Linked DNA regions of Arabidopsis thaliana. The protein of the gene in region 1 interacts with the protein of each later gene in a pairwise test. Each region holds a gene or a part of one and is shown in the gene's direction. Other genes may lie near its edges. The genes, in order: MAP70-5, ALF4, WAVH1 and PHOT2.

Region 1 (7,225 bases):
ATGAACTTTTGGCTTTGACTCCACAGTTGGACTTGAAAGAGGTGCTGGTGGAGGCTGCTCGGGCAGTCGCTGATGGGGATTTCGCTACAGCGTATGGATTCCTTGATGTCTTGGAACAGATGGTGTCAGTCTCAGGCAGTCCGATCCAACGGCTAGGCACTTACATGGCAGAAGGGCTTAGAGCGAGGCTTGAGGGGTCTGGGAGCAATATATACAAATCCTTGAAATGCAATGAACCAACGGGAAGGGAACTGATGTCTTACATGAGTGTTCTCTATGAAATCTGCCCCTACTGGAAATTCGCGTACACAACTGCGAATGTTGAGATCTTGGAAGCAATAGCTGGGGAAACCAGAGTCCACATTATCGATTTTCAGATTGCACAGGGATCACAATACATGTTTTTGATTCAGGAGCTTGCGAAACGCCCTGGTGGGCCGCCGTTGCTGCGTGTGACGGGTGTGGATGATTCACAGTCCACCTATGCTCGTGGGGGAGGACTCAGCTTGGTAGGTGAGAGGCTTGCAACTTTGGCGCAGTCATGTGGTGTCCCGTTTGAGTTTCACGATGCCATCATGTCTGGGTGCAAGGTGCAGCGGGAACATCTCGGGTTGGAACCTGGCTTTGCTGTTGTTGTGAACTTCCCATATGTATTACACCACATGCCAGACGAGAGCGTAAGTGTTGAAAATCACAGAGACAGGCTGCTGCATCTGATCAAGAGCCTCTCCCCAAAACTGGTTACTCTAGTAGAGCAAGAATCCAACACAAACACCTCGCCATTCCTGTCACGGTTTGTGGAAACACTGGATTACTACACAGCGATGTTTGAGTCGATAGATGCAGCACGGCCACGGGATGATAAGCAGAGAATCAGCGCAGAACAACACTGTGTAGCAAGAGACATAGTGAACATGATAGCATGTGAGGAGTCAGAGAGAGTAGAGAGACACGAGGTACTGGGGATATGGAGGGTCAGAATGATGATGGCTGGGTTCACGGGTTGGCCGGTCAGCACATCTGCAGCGTTTGCAGCGAGTGAGATGCTGAAAGCTTATGACAAAAACTACAAACTGGGAGGCCATGAAGGAGCGCTCTACCTCTTCTGGAAGAGACGACCCATGGCTACATGTTCCGTGTGGAAGCCAAACCCAAACTAGATTGGGTAAGTTATAGTGATGATGGTTACTTGAGTGGATAAAGAAGAGCACAACAAAAACACATCTGTCGCTGTAAATTTTTTAGGATGTGCAATGATGTTTTAAGTTGTAACACAACCTAAGTTATATATGTATACAAACCAAACCTGGTGGTTGTTTTTCTCTTGTAAATTGTCATGTGGTTGTGGGTGGGTTGCTAGTAATGAAATATAACCAAAACATTGATTAGGTCATTTTATGATCTTCTTCTATATATACCGGTATAAGTCAACTGGCGGCTGAACAAAGGTCGTGAGGTAACAAAATATGAGACAAATCTACAGGTCAGATTGGGTTCTGAATTCTGATAAGGTCTTAAAAAGGAGCTCACCAACCCACAAAACCATGGATTGAACAAGTACAGGTCATTGCCTTCATTTTATTCTTTACTTTTCTAAGGCTCAAGCTTCCTTTATTGCCTTTAATAACAATATACTAATGAGTATTTTGCACTCAGTAACAAAATTCAGGAGAGTAATTTTTTGCCCTAACATGTTACTTTTATGTGTTAAGAGTTTAGAATTTTGGATCTATGATTTTAGTTTTTGTTAGGGAATCATATTCATATAAATAAAATATTGCCATTGACTTAATTGTTGTTATTCACCTAATTTCTCTCCAAATTTGGTCATTTACCTCAGTTGATTCTATATTATACTTGCTAAGTGTTCTTTGTCTAATTCTCTATCATTGTTTGATTTAATAATAACCAAACCTTAAGACTTGGAAGCAAAGAAGAGAGAAAATCCCAATTAATTTTTAATAATTCAAAGAGAGATATTGAGTGACTTCCACTAATACAAAGAAAGCTTGGTTTGTGCAATATTTTGCGGTTAAGCTATTAATTGCTGAGGCAACACCTTTTCACACTTTGCTTTCCTTCTTCCAAGTTTTCAACTTTTCTTTCTTACTCTTTCTATTAATCAAACTGCAACACAAAAATCATTTGGATAATACATGTTTAGAAGATGATTAAGCTTTAGTTTTATTTCAAGATTATCATAATTGTTATCTGTTGTTACCTACATTCATATAATCTTATCAAAAACGATAAAGACAAAAAGGGGATACAATATAGGTTTTTATTATAAAGAAACAGGAAAGAAAGAAAAGGGTTTTCACCAAACGAAATTAGTTCAATCATTTAAATTATCTTTATCCTTATGATTAGTGTCTTTATATCTGTCATATGCTGCTTCTCCTTCCAACTTCCTTTGGATTATATTCTCTTCTCTTTATTTTAATTTCCATTTGTGGTAGCTGTTTTATTTTTTGTATTTTCACGCCGTGTCCCTTTAAAATAATATTAACTACACCACTAATGTTGGAACATGAAAAACATGAATGAGGTAATTATGATGATGAACCAAATGTTAAGGACAAGCTCGGTGTAACTAAGAAGATAATTAGTGAAACAGAACAAGTCAATAACTTGTAAGCATTTCAGAATTGAAAATAAAGATAAGGGAGGATGAATATGAATTTAGTAAATGGGTAATGAAAGTGAAAGAAGAAGAGGGAAGGGTTGGTTACTGTCTCAAGGGTTTGAAATGGAGACGGTTGCTTGAGAATGAGGAAAAAGAGTTAGTAAGTTTTTAACTCTCTCTTTCTCTCTCCCTCTCTCTTTTTCAACGTCAATTCCTTTAAGGAATGGCCTCTCTCTCTCTCTGAAAGTGTGTGTGTATATATTAAACGACTCCATTTCTCCTCTGCTTAGACCAAAACTCATCTTCTATACTGCAACAAAGAAGGAGGAGCCGTTGAGACTACAAAATGACTGCAGCAGAAAACCCTTTTGTATCTGACACCTCTTCTCTGCAAAGCCAGCTTAAAGGTTCTTATTTTTCTTTCTGTTTATTGTTCATCAACCCTTATGAGTAATTTGCTTGATGTTGAGGTTGTTCTGCTTTCTTTTAATTCCACTCTGCAGAAAAAGAGAAAGAGCTTTTGGCTGCTAAAGCTGAAGTTGAGGCTTTGAGAACAAATGAAGAGCTCAAAGACAGAGTCTTTAAGGAGGTAACATGCATGATGATCATCAACTCTGTTTGTGATTGTTCTACAAAAACTTTAAGTCAATCTTACCTATAAGTTTTTTTGATCAATGTTTTCCATATTCAAACTGTCCTTTTTGAGCTTCTTGAGCTCTATTGATGCTACTTGGTGTTGTTTCAGCTTAGAGAAAACGTGAGGAAGTTGGAGGAGAAACTTGGAGCCACCGAGAATCAAGTTGACCAAAAGGTGAGGTTTTGCTCAAATACTATAGACCATCTTTGTGAAGGACTCATGTCAAAACATTAGAAATGACTAGAATAAGTTAAGCTTGTGACATGATTGTAGGAGTTGGAGAGGAAGAAGCTAGAAGAAGAGAAGGAAGATGCATTGGCGGCACAGGACGCTGCAGAAGAAGCACTAAGGAGGGTTTACACTCACCAACAGGACGATGACTCTCTACCCCTAGAATCCATCATAGCTCCTCTTGAATCTCAGATCAAGATTCACAAGCATGAGGTTCTTAAGACTATATGTATTTCAAATTTCTTTCTTGTATCAGTGTGAAGTGCCAGATTTTCTTGACATGCTACTGTTTGACAGATTTCTGCACTTCAAGAGGACAAGAAAGCGTTGGAACGTCTAACAAAATCAAAAGAATCGGCGCTTCTTGAAGCAGAGAGAATCTTGAGAAGTGCCCTTGAACGTGCTTTGATTGTTGAAGAGGTCCAGAACCATAACTTTGAACTTCGACGACAGATTGAGATATGCCAGGATGAGAACAAGTTTCTTGAGAAAATTAACCGCCAGAAAGTGTTGGAGATTGAGAAGCTCTCCCAAAGCATTGTAGAACTGGAGGAAGCGATCTTGGCAGGAGGAACAGCCGCCAATGCAGTTCGAGACTATCGCCGCCAAATCTCCCAGCTCAATGCAAGTGTTCTGTTTAGTTTCTTGTACTTCATTCTCACATTTGTTTTAAAGGAAAATCACATGATTTTTTCATCGTTACCAGGATGAGAAGAGAACCTTAGAGAGAGAGCTAGCCAGAGTCAAAGTGTCAGCAAGTAGAGTGGCACTTGCAGTTGCTAACGAGTGGAAAGATGAGAACGATAGAGTCATGCCTGTAAAGCAATGGCTTGAAGAGAGAAGGATTCTCCATGTACTCACTGCTTTTCACTTACACATCCAGTTAATACACACTGACTAGCTTATATGGGAAACATTAGTGTTGAACTTTGTGTCTGTGTGCAGGGAGAAATGCAGAAATTGAAAGATAAACTCGCTGTTTCCGAGAGAACCGCTAAGGCTGAGTCCCAGCTAAAGGTGATTGCTTATGTAGTTAATATTCTGTTGGTAAAAAGTGTAGTTTCTAATGCAAGTAAACATTATAGGAGAGGTTAAAGCTTAGGCTGAAAACCATAGAAGATGGCTTGAAGGGCCCAAACACGTTTTTCGTCTCTCCAACTACAAAGACTGAAAAATCTGGCAAGATTTTAGGATTCTTGACCAGTGGTGGTGGCTCAAAGAAAAGGTCTAGTTCTCAGCTAAGAGGCTCAGTTACAGGCAGAATCCATGCTATGAATCAGCCAATTGACAGAGTTGGGGAAAGTGATGAAATGGAGAATTCAAAGATTACTGCAAACGGATTGACTGATCAACATGAAGAAGATAGCGAAAGGAAAACAGAGGAAGATGGAAATGTTTATTCTGAAGATATGGTTTCAGGGTTTTTATATGACAGGCTTCAGAAGGAAGTGATTGCTTTAAGGAAGCTATGTGAGAGTAAAGAGGGTACTATAAATGCCAAAAATGAAGAAATCAAGGTAACTTCATCATCTTCTTGTGGTTGTTTAAGATCCTCAACTATATGAAACCTCTTAAGATACCTCTGTTTTTAGATGTTGTTGAAGAAGGTGGATGCTCTAACGAAAGCCATTGAAGTTGAGACAAAGAAGGCAAAGAGGGAAGCCGCAGCGAGAGAAAAGGAAAACGCATTGGCAATGTTGAATGAAGAGTCAAAACTATGTAGAAAGGCAAAACTACCGAGAAGGTTTGGTCATCACATCCTTTGTTGTTTGTCTTTGTCTTTTGAGAAGTATACATAGTCAAACATCAAGACAGTTGATATTTATATGTTTATGCTATGTTGTGCAGCCGCATACCCAATCCACGTTGCCAGTAGAGGAAGAAGAAGCTTATGGGATTGAATACTAAAGAATATGGTCTAATGTTAGGTTGTACTGTACATATTGAGTATTGGATGATGGATTATAAGAAAGTGAAAACTAAAGATCAAGAGATGTGTATGTGTGTTATGTATATCGGATTGCAAAGCCATGTTTCCAGATGATGACACAAAACTCCTCTCTCTTCTCCTACCAATTAGTTGAATGTTAGCAATTATCTTGGAAACCTATAAGTAAATCAGAATCAGCTAAACACAAAAACATGCATATTCTCTCTCAAAGTCATACATAACCATATATGTCTTCTCTCAGATTTTTTGGTCTTGCCTTGGTTGTTAGGCTAACATAACAAACTTTGCATCTAATATATATATCATAATCAGTTACAGGATCGTATGATCTCTGTAGTAGCAAGAAGATCCAAGCTTGAAGAAAACATAAATTTTATTATATACAAGAAGAGCATGAAGAACAAGATTTACAAAGACTATCTCTCTTTCTCACAAGAAGTGAGAAGGAACCATATAGAAATAAAGTCAGGACTGATCTTTCCTAGCAAGATTAATTTACAGTCTCTTTTACATGGTGCTCTCTTGTAAGGTGATATTTCCAGCTGTATAGACACGAGAGCCGTTGGAAGAGGAGAGGAGTTGAATACCTCTGTGAATCTTGGAAGAGCATCGATACGGTTTAGGGACAGAGAGTGTTTTAATGATACAAGCCTTGTCTAAGTCAGGAATCGCGTGGAGGTGAGAAGGAAGATCGATGACGAATTGCCCCAACTCATTTGTCACAGCTTTGATCCATTTAGATCTCCTCCTATGTCCAGTATGGCACTTGAAGCCAATAGTAGCTCCTGTATGATGATGATGATGTGTTAGAAATCTCGTAGTATATAATATAAGGAATACGGACCAATCCACTTATTACCAACTGGTTACGTACCATGAATAGGGGAGGAGGAGGAAGAGAGAAGAGAGGCGGTGAGAAGAACAGAGGAGAGTTTTTGTTCGCCGTAGCCAGCCATCTCCACCATCTCATCTCTGCTCCATCTATCACTAAATGCTTCCCCAAACGTCACAATTAATACCAACGTCATGCTCATCAACAAGAACCTCATCTTTAATCTTCAAGGTCGTATATATGTGAAAAACTACCAACTGGCTTAGAAATGGAACAAGCAAGGATGTGTTATATATATACACACACAAAAATGAATGGATTAGTTGAATAAATTAAGAATATGAGATCCTTATTTTGCTTTTTTATAAGTAAAAATGCCTCTTCCATAATTTGACTTTTATCTTTTTTGGTCAAATTATATGACTCCTTAATTATATATCTCCTTGCTTATATAATAGTAGAAATTACTTGTTTGCCTAATCCTTCTTTCTTCTTCTTCTTTTCTTCTTCTAGTTAATAAATTTGATCAATCTTTGATCAATCTTTGGTCAAATATCAGTACGGTATGCGACGTTTCTTCTTTACAAATGTCTTTATTTTTTTAATATTATGTTTCAAAGTCTAACCTAAATTTAAAGTCACAATTGACAAATAATCAAGCCTGCCCCAACTGTTTTTCTTTTCTTCTAGACATTTGTCTTTGTCCCAAAGACAACTTTTTTGGGAGAGTTCTTGTGTGGGTTGGTTATCAATAATCTCTCCAAGGATAAATACAAAAATGTTTATTTGAATGATGTGTCTATGATGACCTATCAATATTATAATTTCATTCAATCTCTATTTATTGCATTTTCTCAATTATAACTACACAAAAAGATCAACAATTTCACATAATTATAGTGTTATCTTTAACTAAAAAGTGCATCAGGCTTTTATTATTTATAGCCA
Region 2 (8,397 bases), on another chromosome or scaffold:
CATGATGGTGAGAGTGCACAAGCAAAACATCTCTGAGAGCAAAAAGGTTGACTGCTGATAAACATACCTTACAAAAGGCAAGGCAGGGTCAGCACAGCGAGTTCCAGAAGGTAATCTATCCGCTGAATTTGCAAGGGAATTAGCAAGTCCATTTTGACCTGAAGGTGTAATTAGAGGATAATGCCACCTCAGAAGCCTAGCTGCAGCACTCCATGCAGCTAAGGGATCTCCAGCACGAACAGCAGAGAGGAGTATCTCCCTAAGCACAACCATCTGCAAAGTGCTCCAATGGGACTCGAACAGGGAGACAATGGAATGATGATGCATTTTCCCAGCGTCAGGTAGGCGCCCAGTTTCCTTTACCAACAAACACAAGAGAAGATACAATATATTATCAAAGTATGATACATGGATAAATACCAAGATAGTGAAAAGTGATGATAACAAAAAAAACTCCAGAAAACCATGCTCAATCAAACACAAGAGAGGAAAAATAATGCCTATGCTGGCAAACTCACATTGTTAACCGACACTTTTGACATGGATGCCCTACTTTGAATTCTGTATGCATCAGTTGTCATAGAGAGAACTTGCATGGCACTGATAGCAGCCAATCGATTGTCTTGCTGCAAATACAATTGGGCGACCTGCCTACAGAAGAAGGCTGCTTTCCGTTGATAACCAAGGGCTCCAAATAAACGCGCTACTTCAACATATAATATGAGCCTATCACTGGCATCAATTAAAGACTTTGCACCATCAGCTGCATTTGTTAATAGCTCTACTACTTCCTTAGCCAGTTCCCTCCTGCACAACACATAAAATGACATTGTAAGAATGATTAAGATCAAAGATACCAAGAAAAAAATGAGGATGCAACCAGAAGGTTAAAAAAACATAAAAGCTGCCACAACCAGAGAGTATCATTTCATACTAAACGGAAAACCCATGTATTTTAGCTTTTTCAAAACGTAATAATTATTCTTTTCCCAGCTAACATCACCATCAATCACAAAACATTAACATACAGCCATCCTCCACTAGGCCACTTAATACTTAATAGTAATCTCAATATATTGGTATTATAAGTTGAATGTTGCAGATAGTTTTAGAGGATCAAAGCCACACACACACAAGATCCCATGAGTTTATATTTAAATTTTAGTAGCGATATAGCTTCCTACTAGACAAAAATACCATAGCAACCTTAAACTTAAGCAGGAGACGGCAAGAAAGGAAACCACACCATGATAATTTAAAGAAATAGAGAGCATACAATGATACCTGCAAAGGAATCTGGCCAGCTTAAGGGTAGCTTCGAGTTCAAAGCTTAGGGGCGAAACTCTGCAAGGAAGAGAATTGATTGCTATTACTTAAGTTTATCGAAGAAGAAAGCCAAACAGGTTGGTAGAATTACCTCTGAGCAATTTCTTGAATAAATGACTTTCTGTAGTGCAAGATAACATTAGTGTATCGATATCTAACTTCATCTTCTAAAGCCACATCACGTTGACCCATCCGATCTACCTAATATTAAGAAAACGGAAAACTAAGATGATTGCAAACTTAATTAAAGAGGGACAGATGAGAGCAATTTCATAATCAGTGCACTTTCGATAAACAGCACATCACTATCCATGTTTTTGGACTATAATACTATTAAAAATGTAAGAACAATGCATTTAGAGATATATTTGCATAAAGCCTTACCAGTAAGGCACAAACACTGCCTTCCAAGGCACCGGCATACCAGAAGTAATCTCCAGTCAATCTGGCCAGTTCCAGAGCAGTAGAATAATGAGCATTGGCATCAACAGGTGAACCAGCCAACAAGGAATAGTCTCCTATAGTTTTTTGTGCACGTCCCAGCCTACGCTTTTTGGCCTTAATAACCTGCATTAAACAAAACTAGTGAGCCTAGAAGACTATGCTAATAAGTTATAAGCTTCCAGAGGAAGAAATGAAACGTAGACCAAATTATAGGACACCTAGACATAAACCTCCTCTGAGTTGAGACTAGCTTGGGAATCCAAAGGCGTCTTCAAAATTGTGCCAGCAGATTCTGCCTGAAGAACCCACTTCTCAAATTCCATTAACAGCGAAGCGGCAATGTCTTGCATCATTGTTTGTAAATGAAACTCCTGAGTTTGCTTGTCAGATGGAGGAAACAAAATCAAATTTTCACCCTTCTTGTCTCCATCTTCAAGCTGCAAAAGACAGTACATTGTTCAGTAAATCGTCAATCTAACGCATCCATAAGCAAGTAACTAAATCACTGGTACAAAAAATGGACATCACTATCAACTGTAGAGACAAATCAGAAAAAAGCTAGCTAGATCCATCGGCATCGAGCTAAGAATGCCATAGCAGATAAGAAGCATGGAAACTAATATACTTACTTGCGAATCGCCAGGGGAGAAAGCGAAGCAGCGCCGGACAAGAGCCGAGGAATAACTCTTACAAGCGACATTGAATTTTTCAGTGACAGAATCAAGATCAGGGGACGAGGGACAGTGGCAAAGGCCGATCACGGCGAGCATCTTCCGATTAGACTGAAAATCCTCCCAAGGACTCGGAGGAGAACCACCAAGCACAAATTTGAACCGGAGAGAGCCGGAATCCCACGGCTGATTCGTGAATGGAGATTTCTGATGTTCAGTGTAGAAAGAGCTAATAGCTGAGAGCGCGATCGTGTGATGACGGAGCAGCATCGAGTGGTAGTCCCGGAGAAGCGTCGGCGGAATAGTGCCGATCGGAAGGACGGCGATCCGAATGATCGACAAAGTCTCGATACTGACGTCAGGTTCCATGGCGAGATCAGAGAAGGAGAGTGAGGATCTTTCGGTGAGCGTGAGTGCACCGGATCTGAAGGAGACGAAAACGAGAAAGTGTTGAGAGAGAGAACGTGGTCTGTTTGGGTACAGGTATTAAACTATTCTTAGTTAGAATTAGACTATCCGGGGTTAAACTCTATTCATATAACCAAACGATATGGTTAAATTCGCGATTATTAATACTCTCACTGTGAACGAAACTTGGGCGAAATTGAAAAGTTTTGGCGTTATGGAATCGTCCATTGAAGGGAGCTCCGAGTCAACTACTGTCACTACTTCTCCTTCGCGTCGTGTACGAGAACTTTTAGCTTTGTGTTTCAGTGTAAGCTTTCTCTCTTCTTCTTCTCCTCGTTTCGGGTTTGTGTAATTTGTTTTCTGGGTGGAATTTCTAGATGCTTTGAGATCGATGAATACTTAGCTGTTTCGTGATTTTTGGAGCTCGAATGAAAAATTCGCCGCTAATTTTGTGATTTTTCAGTCAGTTGAAGAAGCCGGAGGATTTCAAGACTTTGAGAGTTTTGTGACAGAACTTGTCAGCTGTTTGGATTCTTTGTATGAGAACGTAGCTTTGGATGCTAACAATGAACTGGAGAACGATGTTATTGAAGAAGTATTAGATGAAATTTTGAAAGTTTTATCATCTCCTCAAATGGATCAGGTACTTTTCAGTTTTCGAATCGCTTTCAAAGCCAAACGGAAGGATTTTGTTTAGAGAACCAAGCTTATGATTTTGTTCCCCGATTCATTTTATTACAGGATGTTATAGATGCACTGTCATTTCACTTGCCAAAAGTAACTTCCAAGTTTGCAGACATATCAAGCAGATGTTTACAGTTAGTTGAGGAAATCGTTGATCGGTTTGTGGAAGCATGCAATCCACGGGATATGCTTTCAATTCTTTGTGAGGTAATTGATCTGGAATTTCTTTTTCCTTCTTGGTATTTGGCATAAGAAGATTACAAGTTCTTTTTGATCACCTTATGACTCTGAACCAGGCACTCGATGCTGCACGGTGCTATCATTCAGCCTCCACTTGTTCTACTCCTTTATTGCATGGGCTCTCTAAAGGTACCAGTTGAAGATTTCTCGTTTTCAAGATATTTATAGACTCCTCTCATGAAAGTGAATTTTAGCCTGGCACCTGCAGTTTTAGTAATACTCTTGCTTTGATTGTACACAAGTATGAATATCCTAAAATTTATAGACTTCTCTCATGAAAGTGAATTTTAGCTTGGCACCTGCAATTTTAGTAATACTCTTGCTTTGATTGTACTTAAGTATGAATATCTTAAAGTTTGTGTTTGAATCCCTAACTAGTTTTGTTACTGAAGATATTAATTTAGTCTTCGTGAACTGAAGCAGTAAAAAGTTATTCAAATTTCCTGGTTTCAGTATTTATTTTGATCCAGAGGCGTCACTACGAGCAATTAAAGGTTGCAGTTCCAATTGTCCTGAACGTTTTGAAGGACATTTCATTGGAAACAGACGTGCAAGTTGAAGATTTATTTGATAAGGCTCTAGGCATTGCCTCTTCAATTCGAGACGTTTCTTCAAAACTGGTCTGTAAGTTTGATAAATTGGCAATTAGGATTCCCTAAATCACTACCCAAAGTGTAAATTCTCTAATTTGAATATTCGTTTTGCCTGATTTGATCTCTTTTCTTTGTTTTACAGAATAACGAAGAAGAAGCAAAAGTCCGTTGTCTACTTTGTCTCTATGTGATACAGATAACGGTTTGTACTTGATTCCAACTTTGTTTCGATATCATGGAACTTTTCTGACTTTTCTCTTTTATTATGAGCATATAGATTTTCTTCAATACCTTAGATTTGGTCTGGTTTTGCAGGCTATTATTTCAGTTAGCATCAGAGACAAAGCGGCCTCTTGTATTCCTCTGGTGATTCAGTTAGAACCGTTCTTGACATCCTGTGGTTTAACACATCTTGGTTTAATCACGGGGAATGACACTGAAAAATTAATGAGCACGGTTGCTGGAGGTTACTCTCAATACTCAAAAACACTTCTTCCTGATTTCTCAATAACACGCATCTGTTCTCGTATCACATGTCTCATGGTTGTAAAATGAACAGATGATGATGAGTTTATCACCTCTTTCCCTGACATCAGCTTGGGTGCATCGCTTTTATTCATCTGTGCAAAGATCTCCCATGAGGTTGCAGAGGCGGCTAATGCGGTTTTAGGAAGTGTTGTTGATGAGCTTCAAAACAATCCAGTGAAAAGGTGGCAAGCTTATGGGATGTTGAAATATATACTTTCCTCTGGAGATCTGCTCTGGGAATTCAAAAGACATGCTATCGAGTTCTTGCTTGACATAACAAAAGGAGTTACTTCATCTCAATGCAATGATGAGCAAATAGATTGTTCGGACTACACGCCTGGCATCTACGCTACTTTACAGGTGTAATATTCTTCTCCTTAATCTTTACACCATTCAGGTTTACCAATTACTAGCGCTCCAAGTGTCTCGTTTCTTTCAACCAGGCTGTTACATTACTGATCATGTATGCGCCAGACGCAGATCTGAGGAAAAAGACATTTGAGGCACTGAAGAGGGTAAATAAACCTTGACTTAATCAAAATTTGGATAACTGATTTTGAGTGACGCAGAATTGATACTATATGAAGCATGAATCCACAAAAAAAGAACGAACAACACAAACTTTTGAATGGCTTTTGTTTCCTCAAAATTCTGATTCTTTAGATCTATACTCGTTATTGATGTTTTTACACAGAAATGATGGTTTAACCAATTCAGATGATTTGACTTGTGCTGATTATATTTTATAAGTAGAAGAGGTATCAGCCAACTTTGACACAGAATGACTACCCTCAGTCCATATGCCTTGCTTTTCTTTCTTTTCATATACTTTTTTAAAAACATATCTTCTTCATTCAGAAATTTAGTTATCTATTGGGCTTGGTTAAAGTTTAAACAGAGATGATTAATAATCTCGTCTTACAATCTTACTTTTGTGCTGTTTGATTAGGTTCTTTCTGATATCCCAGCTCCTCATAGGTTTGACGTTTTAAGAGCCCTTGTCACAAATTCCCGGTCTCCTTCAATGGTTAGTATATTTGTATCCCACTGAGCTTTATGAATAGTAAATGCCATCATGGTCACCTTTGGCGTTGACCATTCATAAACTGCATAGTTTAATGTCTTCAGTAGTCATACTGAGATAATATTTTTAAACATTTGGTTCCAAAAGAGAAAGGTATCCCATTTCAACTAATATCTTTTGCTAAATCAACCAGACAGCAATCCTTCTGGGTCTAGTTAAAGACAGCATGAGCAAAAGCAGTTTGCAAGATACAGATTGTGCGGCTGTTGATACGCATGTTATTGAGCTAGTGGAGTTGGTCTTAAGGCCTCCACAGGGAGGTCCTCCACTCCTTCCGGACCAGAGTGATGCGGTGATCTTTTCTTTTCCTATATCAATTCTTTAAAAGTATGTTTTGTTTCTCTTTTCATGTGCATACTATAAGCCCTTTAGGCAATGCAATGATATGGGTTAAGGTAAATGCTTAAAAGGACAAACATTACATACATACCGAGAAATAGAGAAAATGCCCCTTTCTGTGCAAATGAGAGTAGCTTGCTTTTCTCGCTAATTAAGGAATTTTATGATGTTGCATTGTTTTCTAACTTGTCGTAAGGAAAACTGCGATAACAAAAGACCCCAGAATTTTCACTATTTATAAGAATCAGAGGGTCAGAACGAAAATAAGGAGAAACATGGTTGTGTTTGAAGATCGATTATTTAACCACATTTGTGTAACAAAAGTCTTTGTGTGATGTTTGTGCAGATCCTGGCGGCACTTAACCTCTACAGGTTTGCACTGTTATTTGAATCGAGAGGTAAAAAGTCGTATACCCTCTAAAATGTTAAAATGTCAAGTTGAAAATGTACTTTGCTTTATCTCATTTCCTTCCAAGTAAATGGAGGAAATCTGACTATTTAAAATATTGCAAATTAGTAGGCAGTGCGGTTTTGTCATTTCATCTCTCTTGTTCTTGTGGTGTTTTTCTGACAAGACAAAGCTATAGAATGTGAAGCAGGTAAAGAGAGAAGCAAAGTCGGCAGTGATATTTTGTCAAAGAAGAATCTGGAGAAAGCGTATAAGGAATGGCTTCTGCCTCTTCGAACTCTTGTGAGCTGCAGCATCGCTGAGAACCTCAAGGAGGATCATGGCCAAGAATCTTCACTCGACGATGTAGGGCTTCTGAACCCAATTGAATTGGTTCTATATCGATGCATCGAGCTCGTGGAAGAAAAGTTGAAAAGTCATTAGTCAAAAAAATAGTGAGAACTTCAATTGTAGGCTCATTGTTAGTTACAAAAAAAATTTGTTTGATATTTTCCTGCAACTTTGGTTATTCCAACTTGAGTCGTGGCACTTTGCTTGACCTATATTCATATTGATAAGTGATAACCCATTCACTTGTGAACCTGCTCCTGCTTCTACTTTCTTTCCAACTTTCATTTTTGCAAAAGAGTGTTGTGTTGTGTATTGCCAAGACCACAAGCCAAAGATTTCTATTTAGCAGGCTCAGTGATTGGTTTGGCTTAGGATCAGCCAATCATAATACTTGCATACAAAGTCTTGATCACCAAAGCGTGTTTTTTGGCTTATAGAATCTTTCAAAAGTAACTCAGACAAGTGTTTATCAGCTGGTGATCATGACTTGATCATAATACTTGCATACAAAGTCTTGGTTCACCTAATTAAGTTCCTACGCTTATGTCGACCCAATGGCTGGAGAAGGGAGCTATAAGCATCCGCAGAGCTGATAGTTATGTAGACTACTCACAGCACCACACGTTCAAGGTCCCTTACTATTTTCCACCTCAATCTTAAGCCGTTTAATTCAACGGCATTTTCTGTAACTTCAATTCTACACAATTCTTAAATCTTTCACCTACAAATGTTTCAAGTACTGAAGAAACACATCTCGTATTTAAGATTCTGTAATTTAATTTGAAATGAAAAGACTAAAGAACATGATTTCTGGTAGATACTTCAGGACAAATCAATATGCATAATTAGAAAGATAATAGCTAATAGTGGCCTTTCTTGGGTGTTGGAAGAAAATATATTTTAATGTCTCGAGACAAACCCATTGGTCACCTAACATGTGATAGTAGTTTCTTAAAATTTGAATTATAGTTACATATCAACTAACTATCTAATCTATAGTTTCATAACATGAAATATTTCAGTTCATGCATATGTATTTCAGAATGGACCACCCAACCTTATCCATATTCGAATTCTTTTTACCTGAACAGAATTCATTCAATACCTAATAGATTTAATTATAGTAAAAAAAAGCAATACATAATTTGCTAAATGGATTGATAAAACAGAAATGAAGTCGTCATGTTGAATATAAAGTCAAGCGTTGCTAATCCCTATATAATATGATCTAACCGCAGTAATTAGACGGAGCTTGTTAAGTTCATGGTCTACACATCGATGGTTCGTGTTTGCCCCAGTCATATCCTGCTAGTTTAAAAAGTGTGGAAAAACATATAAACC
Region 3 (6,565 bases), on another chromosome or scaffold:
TTTGGTATTTTTAAAACGCAAGAAACCATACTAGCATAATAGTAGTCAAAGTGTGATTAGTCTATGAAAGTAGCTTAAGACTACACCAATAATATGTGTCTGGTCCTATAACATACTACAAAATAGCCAAACACGTAGGTATGCATGCAAATGTACGTTAAAAGCTGTAACAAAAACAGACAAACAAACAAAAAAAAAAGTTTGGCGAAAAAAGGTGATAGGTATCAATAACTAGTTGAGATGGGATAGAGATAAATTTTAAAAAATGGACCGACCTATTACAAACAATTTAATAAAAGTAACACAAGAGTACAGAGACTAAAACAGTAGCTATGGTTTTCTTTTGGCGTCTCTGTAATAAATTGGTTTCTGGGGATCTTCGTCCTATCTCCCATGCCATTCACTATCAATACATTTATTGATGCCTTCATTATCATCTTTCTTTTGTTTTTTTGCCGATCACTTTATTTTTTTAACTCGTACCATATTCTATAGCATTGATCCTCTTGTAGTCGTAGGTCGACTTTTGTTTTTATTTGATAGTAACACTTATGTCCTTGGTGATATGTATTTTTCAGAAATGCTTTTTCGATTTATTTAAATGTGTACCCTTTTGTCGACCAAAAAAACAAATGTGTACCCTATCTTTAGTGTTTACTTTGTAGTTTGTACAAAAATACGTTTTTATGTTCGAGCAAGTTTACTTTTGACAAAGAAATGTTATTATAATAATAATAATAATATATTGAAATATCAAAATTTTGTGTGTAAATTTATTTAATTATTTGAAAATTTCAAAAATTTCCAAAACAATACGAGTAGCTTTGCTTAAATATATCTAAAAATACACAAAATAACTAAAATATCCAAAAAAATCCTAATATTTTCTATATATAAGTATAAATATAACTAATATATACTTATATTTGAGATATGTTCGAATTTTTTGGATTTTAAAGTTTAGAACCGTTCGGGTATTTTAAAAGTTTGGTTTCGAGTTTGGATCGGATTTTTCGGATCGGGTTTTTTGGATCGGGTTCGGGTATTATGCACTGGCCTAGATAAAAGAAAGAAACCATTCATCACCTATAACATTTTTACTGCATCCACCGTTATTATCAGTATACGAACATTACCTCAGTTTCAGCATTATAGCTTAGCAATAAATAGCTGAAGAAATGTAGTTGGTATTATTGTTATAGCTTAGCTAGTGGTGGCAACATGTTTATTTTCTATTCACCAGGTGATGATGGCTTATCGGATCAAGTCTTGATTCGAACATTAAATGTTTTACATGGATCGATATATAAACAAGTTAAAATTGGCTCACATCCATAGATCGATCCCATAATCTATGCGTTTATACATTCACTGCACTGTATTAATTTAACCCAATCATATTTGCTCATCTACTACATTAAATTCTGTCAAAGTTTCAATAGTGTGTTACACAATAACGGTCAAACAACAAATGATTCTCCAATAACAACTATTTAGACAGTCAAAAATTTTAGCGTGAGACTAGACGGATCGATAGGGCATAATAGCATATATGTATAGCCCATACATTAATAACTAGACATTATTACAAAAATTTCGGTGCTAAACAAGTTTTTTTTTAATGGACCCTTTTATTAGATTACTTTAAATAAACCGATGTTAAAAATCTTGTTTACAAAAGTAATAAAATGCGGTTGGATATGAACATTTCGTGCTAAATAATCTGTTTTAACATTTTAACTTCAAAAAAATAAAAATAAATATAAAAATCAAACACATCCTTGTCTTCATGAATCGCCTCTAAATACGTAGCAAAGATTGGTCACTTTGTTGGAAAAGACACCACTTTTATCAAGTCTGAGGAATCTGTAAAGAACGTTACTTCTTGTTTGTCTTGACCAATCATACATCTTATTGTTCATACGAGTGAACGAGTGCTTCCACTTATGTAAATAGACATGTGAGACTTCTTCGTAGGTTGACATCACCTATAGTTGGATATTTTCTTGTTGGTAAGTTTTTAGATAGCCAAAATACTATTAAACATTCATAAGCAAGTGAAAATATTTATTTGAACGATTTAACTAAAATGTTGTTATGTATTTATACAAACATATATATTTTTTTATACATATACATGTTATTTTACTAAATAACGTTTTTGTCCAAAGTTTTTTTTACTGAATAACGTGTAATCAAATAAAATAATAAAAGAACAAGGGATCTCTTCTTGATAAAATATTTTGATTTCATATAAAAGTAGGTGATATCTATAAAATAAATTTACAAAATGTTTTAGTTTGTGAATGAACTTCAGAGTAAAATTGTAAAGTTAAAAGTAATTTTACAAATTTAAATAATTAGTTTAGTTATTTAGCAGATACATATAGTCAGTCTGCTATCATAGCATTTAGGTTGAAGCCTTTAAGTTTATCTTGTTCAATTTTTTATATAATATATATATATATATTTTTAATCTAGGTGGTAAACAAGCTTTATCACTTAAAAGGTTAAAATGAGTGGGGCAATAATAGATGTAGCTCATAAGTTCTATGTTGAAAAAGATTAATACCAAAAATCAATCATTTTCTTATAATCAACCATGGAGTAGAAAAGCAATTACACAAATAGAGTAACTTCTAAAATATTTACAGCTTTTTAGGTAGTCAATTACTATTAGTACTATTTCTTAATTCTCTCAATAAAATAAAATAATAAAAAATCATATAGATAATCCCAATATCCCCAATCTTCCACTATAATTGAACAAAAAAGACTCCTTTTTAAATTCAACCTCTCCCACCTTCTCTCTGCAACTCTCTCATTTTCTTAAAATCTCTTTCTCACAGAACCAAAAACCAAAATCTCAGTCTCAAACAAACAACAACAACACACGAGTCACGAGGTTGAAGAAGAAGAAGAAGAAGCAAATATGTTAAACGGCTGGAGAAGAGCTTTTTGCACTTCCATTCCCAAAGAAACTAACCAAAACGACGTCGACGACGACGGACTCGTTGGTCTCCGCCACAAATCAACCTCTCGATTCGGCTTTTTCTCAACTCCTTCTACGCCTCGTTCTGATTCCGGCACCGGAACTTACAGCCTCCGTTGCAGGACTTCAACAGCCACCGCCGTCTCCACTACTTCATCTCTTCCCGGAACTCCAAAGCTTAAGTGCAAAACCACCACCACCGGAGAAACAACTCCCAGAAACAGAAGCCTTGTCTCTCTTTTAACACCTTCTTCTTCTTCTATTTCTCCGGCGAGCTTCACTCTCCTCAAATCCAAACTCCGATTCAAGCAGAGTAGCAGTAACAAATGTGGAATCTGTTTACAGAGTGTGAAATCAGGTCAAGGTACGGCGATTTTCACGGCGGAGTGTTCTCACACGTTTCATTTTCCTTGCGTAACCTCACGCGCCGCCGCGAATCATAACCGTCTTGCTTCTTGTCCGGTTTGCGGATCCTCGCTTTTGCCTGAGATTCGAAATTACGCTAAACCGGAATCTCAAATCAAACCGGAAATTAAAAACAAGTCGTTGAGAGTTTACAACGATGACGAAGCTTTGATTTCATCTCCGATATCTCCCGCCGGATTTCACACAATACTTGAATCAGATGAGAACGAAGACTGCGAGGAGTTTACAGGATTTTCCGTTAATACTCCGTCACCTTTAACGGCGAAATTGTTAACGGATCGAAACGTGGACGTTAAGCTCTCTCCGGAATCGGCTATCGTTGCGTCGGGTAAAGGCTACGAGACTTACTCCGTCGTCATGAAGGTGAAATCGCCACCGTTTCCGACGGCGCGTGGATTTGCGCGTAGAGTGCCGGTGGATTTGGTTGCTGTTTTAGACGTAAGCGGGAGAAATTCCGGTGGGAAATTGGAGATGTTGAAACAAACGATGAGGATTGTGCTTTCGAATCTCCGGGAGATGGATCGTTTATCGATTATTGCGTTTTCGTCCAGCTCGAAACGGTTATCGCCGTTACGGAGGATGACGGCGAACGGGAGGAGATCGGCGCGAAGAATCGTAGATATCATCACCGTTCCTGGTTCTGTCTCCGGCGTCGGAATTGATTTCTCCGGTGAAGGGATGAGTGTGAACGACGCGTTGAAGAAAGCGGTTAAGGTGTTAGACGATCGCCGGCAGAAAAACCCTTTCACCGCCGTGTTCGTTTTAACGGACCGTCAAGCCCATCAAGTGGCCCAATTAGCCCATTCGAGAATCCCTATACACACCATATGGCTTAGCCACGCGATTCCCGAAGACGCGTTTGCGAGGACCATCAACGGTTATTTGAGTTTGTCGGTTCAGGATCTCGGTTTACAGCTCGGGATAGTTTCCGGGTTGGGTCAAGGAGAGATAACTTCTGTTTACTCTCTTTCCGGTCGACCCGCTTGGCTTGGAACCGGTTCAATCCGGTTAGGTGATATGTATGCGGAGGAAGAAAGAGCGTTGCTGGTTGAAATCAAATCACCGGTTAACAATTCCTTAACCGGTAGTAGATCTCACAAAATCATGACCGTTAGATCTCGTTACGTGGATCCAACAACTCAGGAATTAAGAAACCCCGAAGATCGCGCGCTTTTAATACCTACTCCTCTAACTGTCCGATCATCATCAAATCCCAACATCTCACGGCTCAGAAACCTCCACGTCAGCACTCGAGCCGTCGCGGAGTCTCGGCGGCTAATAGAGCGTAACCATTACTCCGGAGCTCATAGATTGCTGACGTCAGCTAGAGCATTGCTTGTGCAGCACGGTTTGAGCTCGAGCGATGCGTGTATACGTGGACTGGACGCAGAGATAGCTGATCTTAATAGTGTGAAAGGAAGACACGTGGCGGCATCAGAGAGTTTGGAGTCGCTTACTCCGACGTCGGCTTGGAAAGCGGCGGAGAGGTTGGCTAAAGTGGCGATGGTGAGGAAACATATGAACAGAGTCAGTGACTTGCATGGTTTCGAAAACGCTAGATTTTAGCTTTTTTATGTATTTAAATATATTTCCATATTTAGAGTAACAACTTGTGTAATAATAATCTGATACAAACAAATAGAAATGGTGCATAAATGGAGTTATATTTGGTCAAATGATAAGTTTGGATAGTTATTTTATATCATTCAGCTTTTATGCGATTTCATTTCTCACCGTAAAGTTGATTATACAATTTTGGTTAGGGAATTAGGTAGTAGGTTTTACCAAATCAATCTTAATATTTAAAATTGTATAAAGAACAAACTATATATTAAGCCACTATCATATACACTCAATACTAAAATCTTACACGCTTAGAGAAACTCGTGTAAAATGTCAATGTAAAATGAATTTTAGCAAAAAAGAAAGAAAAAGAAATCAATGTAAAATGAATTGGCCGGTGATATTTGACTGAAAACATGACTAGAGCTCTTCCATTTGTTTTGTTGTAAAATTTATACGCATTCGAAATGCTTATAACATACATTAGTCGTGTTGAACATGGTATGATCTTTTCTTTTACTTAATTAATCTCTTATGAGAACTTTTTATATATATATTTTTGTGCTTTACAATTATTATAGTGAAACTTTTTAGATAGAGCCTATATTCTATGTGTACTTCTTCGTAATGGATGTGTAGATTATAAATACTAAAATGTAGTCAAAAACAAGGGATGTAGCCTTTTCGCGGCTACACACTGATTAAATTCGTTGTATCCAATGATGGTCAACAAAATATTTTCTAAGCAATACAATAAATCAGCAATAAACAATTCTAAAGAAGCCTTATAAATATGATTGCAAATGCTAATAATTGAGTTTAGGATATCATTTTAACGGCGGAATTCTGTCTCCTTTTTGTTTGTCTCGTAGGCTTTTTACACCTCTCTTATCATTTTAACGCCGGAATTCATAGTACTATGAATCTATGATTGCTAATGAGTAATGCCACATCTCTTTTGGGAGTCGCTTGCGTTACGCACAAAATGCATCATATTTTCCCAATTGTCTAGCAATTAGCCGCAAAAGATCAATGTTTACACAAGATTCAGTAGGTATCTCGATTGATCGGTCATTATCTATAGTTTTATCCGAAATTAACTAAAGAAACTTATCAACTTCTTAGATAAATTAATGGTTGTAGAAACCCCTTGACTTAGTAGTTGATTTTGTGAACTTTTAAGACAAGATGCGAGATATGAATCATATGATTTACGCATAATTCATATATATTTTTTACATTATGGATACAAAAAGTTTAAAGTTGTTGTAGATAGATCTGTCGTTGGATGGTCTCGTGTATTCCAAACCGGTTAAATTTATCTAAATGTAAGTTTATCTTAGAAATTTTGATTAGTCAATTAGTCACATGTCTATCTCAACCAGCTTCTTGAACTACTCGAAAATAAATTGCTAAAAGATATCACTTTTGTTAAAAATACAAAACTTATATATAAGCATCGGCCTAAGTGTTATATATAAGCATCGGCCTAAGTGTTACATACTTTCATTTTATTAGCCCGACTAACGTATACCACCAACTTTTAAAAGTTTTGAATAAATTCTTGTAACTTTAGTCAAACAG
Region 4 (6,804 bases), on another chromosome or scaffold:
ACCGCACAAAGCATCGAACGGGGTTACCTAGTGTTTGAAGACGACAATGAGATTAAACACGATGACCATACAAATAGAGTTAGGGGACACTACAAAGCATCAAACGTGGACTACAAGTCTGTATCCAGGAAGCGTCCGAGGAAGACAGATCTGAAGTTGGAAATCCCAAGACGACGTTTTTGAAAAGAAAAAGAAAAATGAATCATCAGTCTCTTTTGATCGCTTCATGAGGTTTTTTATTGTATACGAAACCTTCAGAAAAAATACATGTATCCATGCTTGTTGTTGACGTCAAAGTTCAGTTCATCAAAAAGATCTTATCTAATGAGAAATGCTTTTTATAGAAGTGTACCTTAAAACCTTGAATTAAAAAAAACATTGTATTGTGTTAAGCACAAAAACTGTGGAGGGATACATAATTTGAAGAGCCTCTGATAGTATTAACTCATTCTTCGCTATTTTTCTTTCTCCTGGGCTCACTCAATGCCTTCTTAGCCTTTGCCCACTCTTTCAAAGAAGTCGAGCTTCTCATAAATGTGCAAGTATCCCCCGACCCAACCTTTCTCTTAATTATCTTCTTCTTCGCACCCAATTTAGCTCCTTCACTCACATTCTTACCATTCAGACGCTGCCGATTCTCATCTAAACTTCTCACAGGGGTACTATCCACAGGGACTCCCGCAGCCACAAAACCACCGCTGCTAGATGCGTAATCTGTTTGTTTCATTGCACTTGCAGTCTGGTTAGAGTTGGAGAACTGGTTTCCTACATTGTTGATCACTCCAGCTGCTTCGCCCTTGTCTGAAGTTAAATCTGGGAAGAGTTGAGTTATACTGAATGAAGAAGTATTTTTGTCGCTAACCAGCTGAGTCCACGAAGCCTTCTGAAGCCATGAAGAACCTCCTGTTGACTTGTTACTAGCTTTCAGCGGTCCTTTACCCGCCTCTTCTTCATCTACAACATTTTCCTTCACGACTAAGCTTTCCTTTTCTGCATTCAAATCCTCTGCTACATTTTCATGCTTCTCCACATTCGACTTGCCGTCCACACTATCGCCCTCTGTGTTTGCAACAAATTCCAGGGGGACAGCTTCAACACTTGTGTCACTAACAGTATCTGCAAGTGATCCTGAGTCGTCTGAACCTACATCGTCATTAGCTGTGTCATCGCACATAGAGTCAATAGCTGTGTCATCTTCCACATTATCACCATCATCGCTCTCAGCCATAGAGTTACTAACTGTGTCATCGGCCATAGAGTCAATAGCAGTGTCATTTTCCACAGCATCCCCATCATCACTCTCAGCCACAGAGTCACTAGCTGGGTCATCTGCCATAGAGTCAATAGCTGTGTCATCTTCCACAGCATCACTATCATCCCTCTCAGCCACAGAGTCACTAGCTGTGTCATCTGCCATAGATTCACAAGCTGTGTAATATTCCACAGCATCACTATCATCCCTCTCTATGTCATCTGCCATTGTGTCACTATCATCCCTCTTTATGTCATCTGATACAGGTAAATCCTCTGCCATGATTGTAGACGTTACACGCTTTCTTTTCGTCTTCTTCTTCAAATTTTCTCGGCTAGGAAGCCCAGCAAGATCAGTGTTGCGTGGTGCAGGTTGTACTGCTTTACTGGAGCCAACACCTGGCAAGAAACTGGATACACTAAAATCATTGCTGTTCCCATTTGCCATAAGTGATTTCCAGGAAGACTTTTGGGACCAGGAAATATTGTCGATTGACTGCTCAAGATCTTTTGTTCTGCTCGGTTCATCCGATGATTTATCTGGTACCACTTCAGAAGGCTTCTTCTTTCCACGTATGGCCTGTGAAGATTCCTGTCTTCCAGTTTCCTCTAGGCTGATTGTTTGCCTATTCTTGCTTGGATGAGTAAGGTTCCCTTTTCGTCCTTCACTATATCCTTCTTCACTTGGTGTTTTTTTGTTGAGAATTGATTTCTGAGTTACAATCAAAGAAAGAGCCAGATCAGGGATGAGGTAGATGACTCATTATTGGGTTAAGTATAATAGAAAAAATATAAGTAGCACTACGTACCCGTTTTCTAGACAACATATCCAGCGCTGAGTCCATATCATTGCCACTAGATGCCACATTGATGATGAGGTTATCTTGGTCTGCTTCAATCTCATTGTCTTCTTCGGGGTCCACATTGTTTTTCTCAAAGAGCTTATTCATCACCGAGTTCATAACATTCACCTCGGCTTCTTGTCTTCCCACATTAACCGCTTCCAGATCATGAAGATGTATTTCCCGAGGAGTGAGAGAGCTGTTAGAGTGCTCTTCACAATCACAAAAGCTCCTTGGAAGAGAAGACGACACTGGAACACGCTGAAAGCTATACTTATGTTTACCAGTTCCACTAAGTGGCATAGGTTTCACCTGCACCACACATACGTAGCTCAAACCCTAATCTCTTACTACTCCTAGTACTAACTATGTCATATAAATGTTACAACTTTGAAGGAGCATTAGTAGTACCTTTCTGAGTCTGGGAAAGAAGATGTTAAGGTGAGTGGCAGGTGGTGAATCGGAGGGAGCTTTAATGGTGTTATCAGAGGTAGAAGACGCTGCCTCCCACTCTCGCTTTAAGCGAGCTAGATAATGCTCTTTTGCTTTCTCCAGTCTCAGCCTCCCTCCTTTCCAGACACATCCATTATACTGCCAAAATCGAATTAGGGTTAAGAATAACAAGAGTAAGGAGAGAGAGAGAGAGAGAGAGAGAGAGAGAGAGAGAGAGAGAGAGAGAGAGAGAGAGAGAGAGAGAGAGAGAGAGAGAGATCGAATTCACTCACTGTAGAGAAGAGCTTGGTGAGTGAATTGGTGGAAGATGGAGAGAAATCGATGTAGGCAAAGGAACGACCTTTGGTCCTGACGAATTCGACGGCATCGACGGTACCCATCGGAGAGAATATCTTGAGAAGATCATCTCTCCCGACGCTTTCTCCTAATCCGCCGACGTGAAGCCTAACGCCGCCGCCGCTGCTTTTTTCCTCCATTGCTGCTTGCTTCAGTTGGATTCAGTTTTCCCTCGCCTCTCCCTCACTTTCCTTACTTCTTAATCTTAACTAATAAGGCCCATTAGAGAAGACCCACTAGGACTTAATGGGCTTTTAGCGGGAAAATAATAAGGCCTAACAAGTTTTTAGGGGTCCCTTCTCTTTAATTTCATCGACATTATTTGAAACAGACAGTGAAAGAAGAAACAAATTGTGGATTCGTCGTCTGCGAAAGCATCTGGGAGAGAAGAAGCCACAGTCATTTTCTTAAACGTGTTCATTTTTCGTCTAATCAAATCATGGCGCATGTTCTGTTCTACTACAATCGTAAGTTTACTGGGTTTTATCTATTTATTGTTTATTCATTTTACATTGAAACATGTCTGAATTATTGTACTGGAAAAATTGATGTGAGGGGTGTAATAAATTCGTTTGATTATGAAGAAAATTTGTGAAAGAAGAGGGAATGATGAACAAGAGTGCACGTATTAAGAGGAAACAGAGTTGTGTGGTCCTTGACCTTGAGGGTGAAAAAGGGTCCATGTGAGTTTGATTATTGATAGCGATGTCTATCCTCCCAGGCTTCCGCATCGCTCATTTGCAGCCTCAGAAACATGATTGTCTTTTTAAAATAACTCAAATAATAATATAACTGGGTTTTGGAAACAGTACAGTTGTGTTTTTTAATTGGTCTATCTCTCTATCTTTCTCATCGTCTTTGCTCCTTTTAAAGACTGTGTACTATATTTCCATGAGTTGCAGCTGATAAAGCTACTCTGGTTGGTATATATATATTTTTCATTTATTTTATCTACTTCACCTTCTTTAACGTGTTTTGTTGATTTGCTTCTAAAGACTTTTAATGGCATTTATTACTTTGTTTCTCGAACCTACAGTTGTGTCTGCCTCTTCTTTCTATCTAACTTGTCTATGTGGTGTCTGGTTTTGATTTGCAGACTATTCATTACTCTGTTTCGCCATAAGAAAGAGAATAAAGAAACGTTATGGAGAGGCCAAGAGCCCCTCCATCTCCTTTGAATGATGCGGAGTCATTAAGTGAACGTAGATCTCTTGAGATTTTCAACCCTTCGAGTGGAAAAGAGACACATGGATCAACTTCTTCTTCTTCAAAGCCTCCTCTTGATGGCAACAACAAAGGTAGTAGTAGTAAGTGGATGGAGTTTCAAGATTCCGCTAAGATTACAGAAAGAACCGCTGAATGGGGATTGTCAGCTGTTAAGCCGGATTCGGGAGACGATGGCATTAGTTTCAAGCTGTCCAGTGAAGTGGAACGAAGCAAGAACATGTCTAGGAGGTCATCCGAAGAATCTACATCTTCTGAATCAGGGGCCTTCCCTAGAGTATCCCAGGAGCTCAAAACTGCTCTATCCACGTTGCAGCAGACTTTTGTTGTCTCTGACGCTACACAGCCTCACTGTCCCATAGTCTATGCCAGCAGTGGATTCTTTACCATGACTGGTTATTCTTCCAAGGAAATTGTTGGAAGAAACTGGTACTGCTCATCTCGTATCTTGCTTCTAGTTTCATTCCCAGTTATTAGTTAGAATAATATTGCTTTTGAAACCCATGCCAACTTACTCTGAAATGCTCTTAATCTTTGTGGGTAAAACGCCAGCCGGTTTCTGCAAGGGCCAGACACCGACAAGAATGAGGTTGCCAAAATCAGAGATTGTGTCAAGAATGGAAAAAGTTACTGTGGAAGGCTGTTAAACTACAAAAAGGACGGAACTCCCTTCTGGAATCTTCTCACAGTCACTCCTATCAAGGACGACCAGGGCAATACCATCAAGTTCATTGGGTACGTCCCTTAATTCCTCCCTGTTTTTCCCTAATTAATCGACTGTCCCTCGATCAATCATTTTCACATTTCCATCTGCAGGATGCAGGTTGAAGTTAGCAAATACACAGAAGGGGTAAATGATAAAGCATTGAGGCCTAATGGACTCTCCAAATCCTTGATTCGATATGATGGTATCTGTTTTTTTGCATCTCTTCGTTAATTCAACAAGTTTTTTTTAGCCAAAAACAATGATATAATTTAGCAAAGAGTGCTGATCCACAATCTTTAACATGTAATGGTTTTGATGATGATATCAGCTCGCCAGAAGGAGAAAGCTTTGGATTCCATCACAGAGGTTGTGCAAACTATAAGACATCGTAAGTCTCAAGTTCAGGAATCCGTGAGCAATGACACTATGGTAAAGCCTGATAGTTCTACTACACCTACACCTGGTAGACAAACAAGACAGTCAGATGAGGCTTCAAAGTCTTTCAGGACACCTGGACGTGTTTCTACTCCAACGGGGTGAGTCTTCGTAACCACTAACCACCAGATTACAGTAGTCTTCCTGAACATAAAATAAGGCATATATATTGCCCAAAAAGTGTGATGGCAGTGCCAAAGTTTTGCAGAAACAACTTGCTATTATCATTGCCAAATAGTGGTAAAATATATACTACACAATCTCAATCTAGTTGTTGTGTTAGTCAATATTTAACTCATAGATAATTTCCATTCGAATACGAAGATGCAGTTGCAATCTCCTACTATTGTTCTGTTTCTTATTTCTCGTGTACTTTTGTAACTTTGTGCTGGGCCTTAGAATGTATCCTCTGACATGGATTGGGTAGTGAATTCTGAAGCTGTGTATATATATGTATACATATACACTCAAGGATTTCTGATCTAGCTTCGTGTAATGTGCAGGTCAAAGCTCAAAAGCTCGAATAACAGGCATGAAGATCTTTTACGTATGGAACCCGAAGAATTGATGTTGAGCACAGAAGTAATAGGGCAGAGGGACAGTTGGGACCTATCGGATAGAGAAAGGGATATACGCCAAGGGATTGATCTAGCTACCACTCTTGAGCGCATAGAGAAGAATTTCGTCATCAGTGATCCTCGTCTCCCTGATAATCCCATTGTATGTTTTTTCTGTCTAAAATTGAGATGAACGTTTTTTTCTCGAACCTTAATGTATCAATTGTAGAGTATATTTCATATATTGATTGTTCTTACTCAAGTGTTCTACTATGTTTGTAAGCATATAATCTTGAATTGATAATGGAAATCGTTTTATTTGCAGATCTTTGCATCAGACAGCTTTCTTGAATTGACAGAGTATTCACGCGAGGAAATATTGGGGAGAAATTGTCGGTATGTGAAAATTCTTCTTTTTGTATCTTCTACTCATGAGATTTATCATGCCTTTTAAGTTATGCAGTCTTCTCCGGCTGCGTTTTTGTTGTTTCGTGATATGGATATGTGCAAAGTGGTTGGCTTCAGGTTTCTTCAGGGGCCAGAGACAGATCAAGCGACTGTCCAGAAGATAAGAGACGCAATTAGAGATCAGAGGGAGATTACTGTGCAGTTGATAAACTACACTAAAAGCGGTAGTTATCAGATACTGAACATTTTAAAACGATCATACTGAAAAGTTTCTATGTGGTTGTGTCATTAAAACTCTAAACCATTGCAGGAAAGAAATTCTGGAACTTATTCCACTTGCAACCTATGCGTGATCAGAAGGTCTTCGTGAGATTATTGTTATATCTGGATTCCGATTCTTGAAGAAAACCGTGCATTGTTGCTGATTACATGACTTTATTCATCTATTAGGGAGAGCTTCAATACTTCATCGGTGTGCAGCTTGATGGAAGTGATCATGTAGAGCCCCTCCAAAATCGTTTGTCTGAGAGAACAGAGATGCAGAGTTCGAAATTGGTATGTGGTTCATATCCTACTGAGTTTTTTGAACATC

Evidence for each region.
Region 2: the proteins of MAP70-5 (region 1) and ALF4 interact in a two-hybrid assay, tested with the Arabidopsis thaliana proteins (one large-scale study listed by BioGRID).
Region 3: the proteins of MAP70-5 (region 1) and WAVH1 interact in a two-hybrid assay, tested with the Arabidopsis thaliana proteins (one large-scale study listed by BioGRID).
Region 4: the proteins of MAP70-5 (region 1) and PHOT2 interact in a two-hybrid assay, tested with the Arabidopsis thaliana proteins (one large-scale study listed by BioGRID).

The regions. Positions count from the first base shown.
Region 1 is NC_003075.7:9,655,153-9,662,377, reverse strand, and holds MAP70-5 (microtubule-associated proteins 70-5), read left to right. Parts: upstream 1-2,801; 5' UTR 2,802-2,972; coding exon 2,973-3,033; intron 3,034-3,129; coding exon 3,130-3,215; intron 3,216-3,371; coding exon 3,372-3,437; intron 3,438-3,536; coding exon 3,537-3,707; intron 3,708-3,791; coding exon 3,792-4,118; intron 4,119-4,200; coding exon 4,201-4,347; intron 4,348-4,439; coding exon 4,440-4,511; intron 4,512-4,579; coding exon 4,580-5,011; intron 5,012-5,086; coding exon 5,087-5,238; intron 5,239-5,342; coding exon 5,343-5,370; 3' UTR 5,371-5,726; downstream 5,727-7,225. Other genes in the region: SCL13 (SCARECROW-like 13), read left to right, coding at 1-1,160; AT4G17215 (Pollen Ole e 1 allergen and extensin family protein), read right to left, coding at 5,953-6,230, 6,320-6,494. UniProt on the Arabidopsis thaliana protein: Plant-specific protein that interact with microtubules and regulates microtubule dynamics. May play a role in anisotropic cell expansion and organ growth.
Region 2 is NC_003076.8:3,489,745-3,498,141, reverse strand, and holds ALF4 (aberrant root formation protein), read left to right. Parts: upstream 1-2,968; 5' UTR 2,969-2,991; coding exon 2,992-3,156; intron 3,157-3,312; coding exon 3,313-3,492; intron 3,493-3,590; coding exon 3,591-3,740; intron 3,741-3,829; coding exon 3,830-3,902; intron 3,903-4,226; coding exon 4,227-4,393; intron 4,394-4,508; coding exon 4,509-4,568; intron 4,569-4,681; coding exon 4,682-4,832; intron 4,833-4,925; coding exon 4,926-5,254; intron 5,255-5,337; coding exon 5,338-5,409; coding exon of another isoform or gene 5,410-5,424; exon of another isoform or gene 5,425-5,439; intron 5,440-5,843; coding exon 5,844-5,921; intron 5,922-6,111; coding exon 6,112-6,270; coding exon of another isoform or gene 6,271-6,303; exon of another isoform or gene 6,304-6,663; coding exon 6,664-6,715; coding exon of another isoform or gene 6,716-6,738; exon of another isoform or gene 6,739-6,904; coding exon 6,905-7,149; 3' UTR 7,150-7,354; downstream 7,355-8,397. Other genes in the region: TRS120, read right to left, coding at 68-357, 519-807, 1,285-1,344, 1,418-1,527, 1,711-1,893, 2,001-2,207, 2,400-2,810. UniProt on the Arabidopsis thaliana protein: Required for the initiation of lateral roots independent from auxin signaling. May function in maintaining the pericycle in the mitotically competent state needed for lateral root formation.
Region 3 is NC_003071.7:9,642,501-9,649,065, forward strand, and holds WAVH1 (Zinc finger (C3HC4-type RING finger) family protein), read left to right. Parts: upstream 1-2,769; 5' UTR 2,770-2,932; coding exon 2,933-4,984; 3' UTR 4,985-5,155; downstream 5,156-6,565. UniProt on the Arabidopsis thaliana protein: E3 ubiquitin-protein ligase involved in the regulation of root growth. Acts as a positive regulator of root gravitropism. Possesses E3 protein ligase activity in vitro.
Region 4 is NC_003076.8:23,520,745-23,527,548, forward strand, and holds the start of PHOT2 (phototropin 2), read left to right. Parts: upstream 1-3,080; 5' UTR 3,081-3,349; intron 3,350-3,385; exon of another isoform or gene 3,386-3,466; 5' UTR 3,467-3,801; exon of another isoform or gene 3,802-3,978; 5' UTR 3,979-4,026; coding exon 4,027-4,535; intron 4,536-4,658; coding exon 4,659-4,841; intron 4,842-4,922; coding exon 4,923-5,014; intron 5,015-5,140; coding exon 5,141-5,348; intron 5,349-5,750; coding exon 5,751-5,967; intron 5,968-6,129; coding exon 6,130-6,200; intron 6,201-6,329; coding exon 6,330-6,436; intron 6,437-6,522; coding exon 6,523-6,572; intron 6,573-6,662; coding exon 6,663-6,767; intron 6,768-6,804. Other genes in the region: AT5G58120 (Disease resistance protein (TIR-NBS-LRR class) family), read left to right, coding at 1-183; ROS3 (RNA-binding (RRM/RBD/RNP motifs) family protein), read right to left, coding at 446-1,963, 2,061-2,405, 2,505-2,684, 2,819-3,022. UniProt on the Arabidopsis thaliana protein: Protein kinase that acts as a blue light photoreceptor in a signal-transduction pathway for photo-induced movements.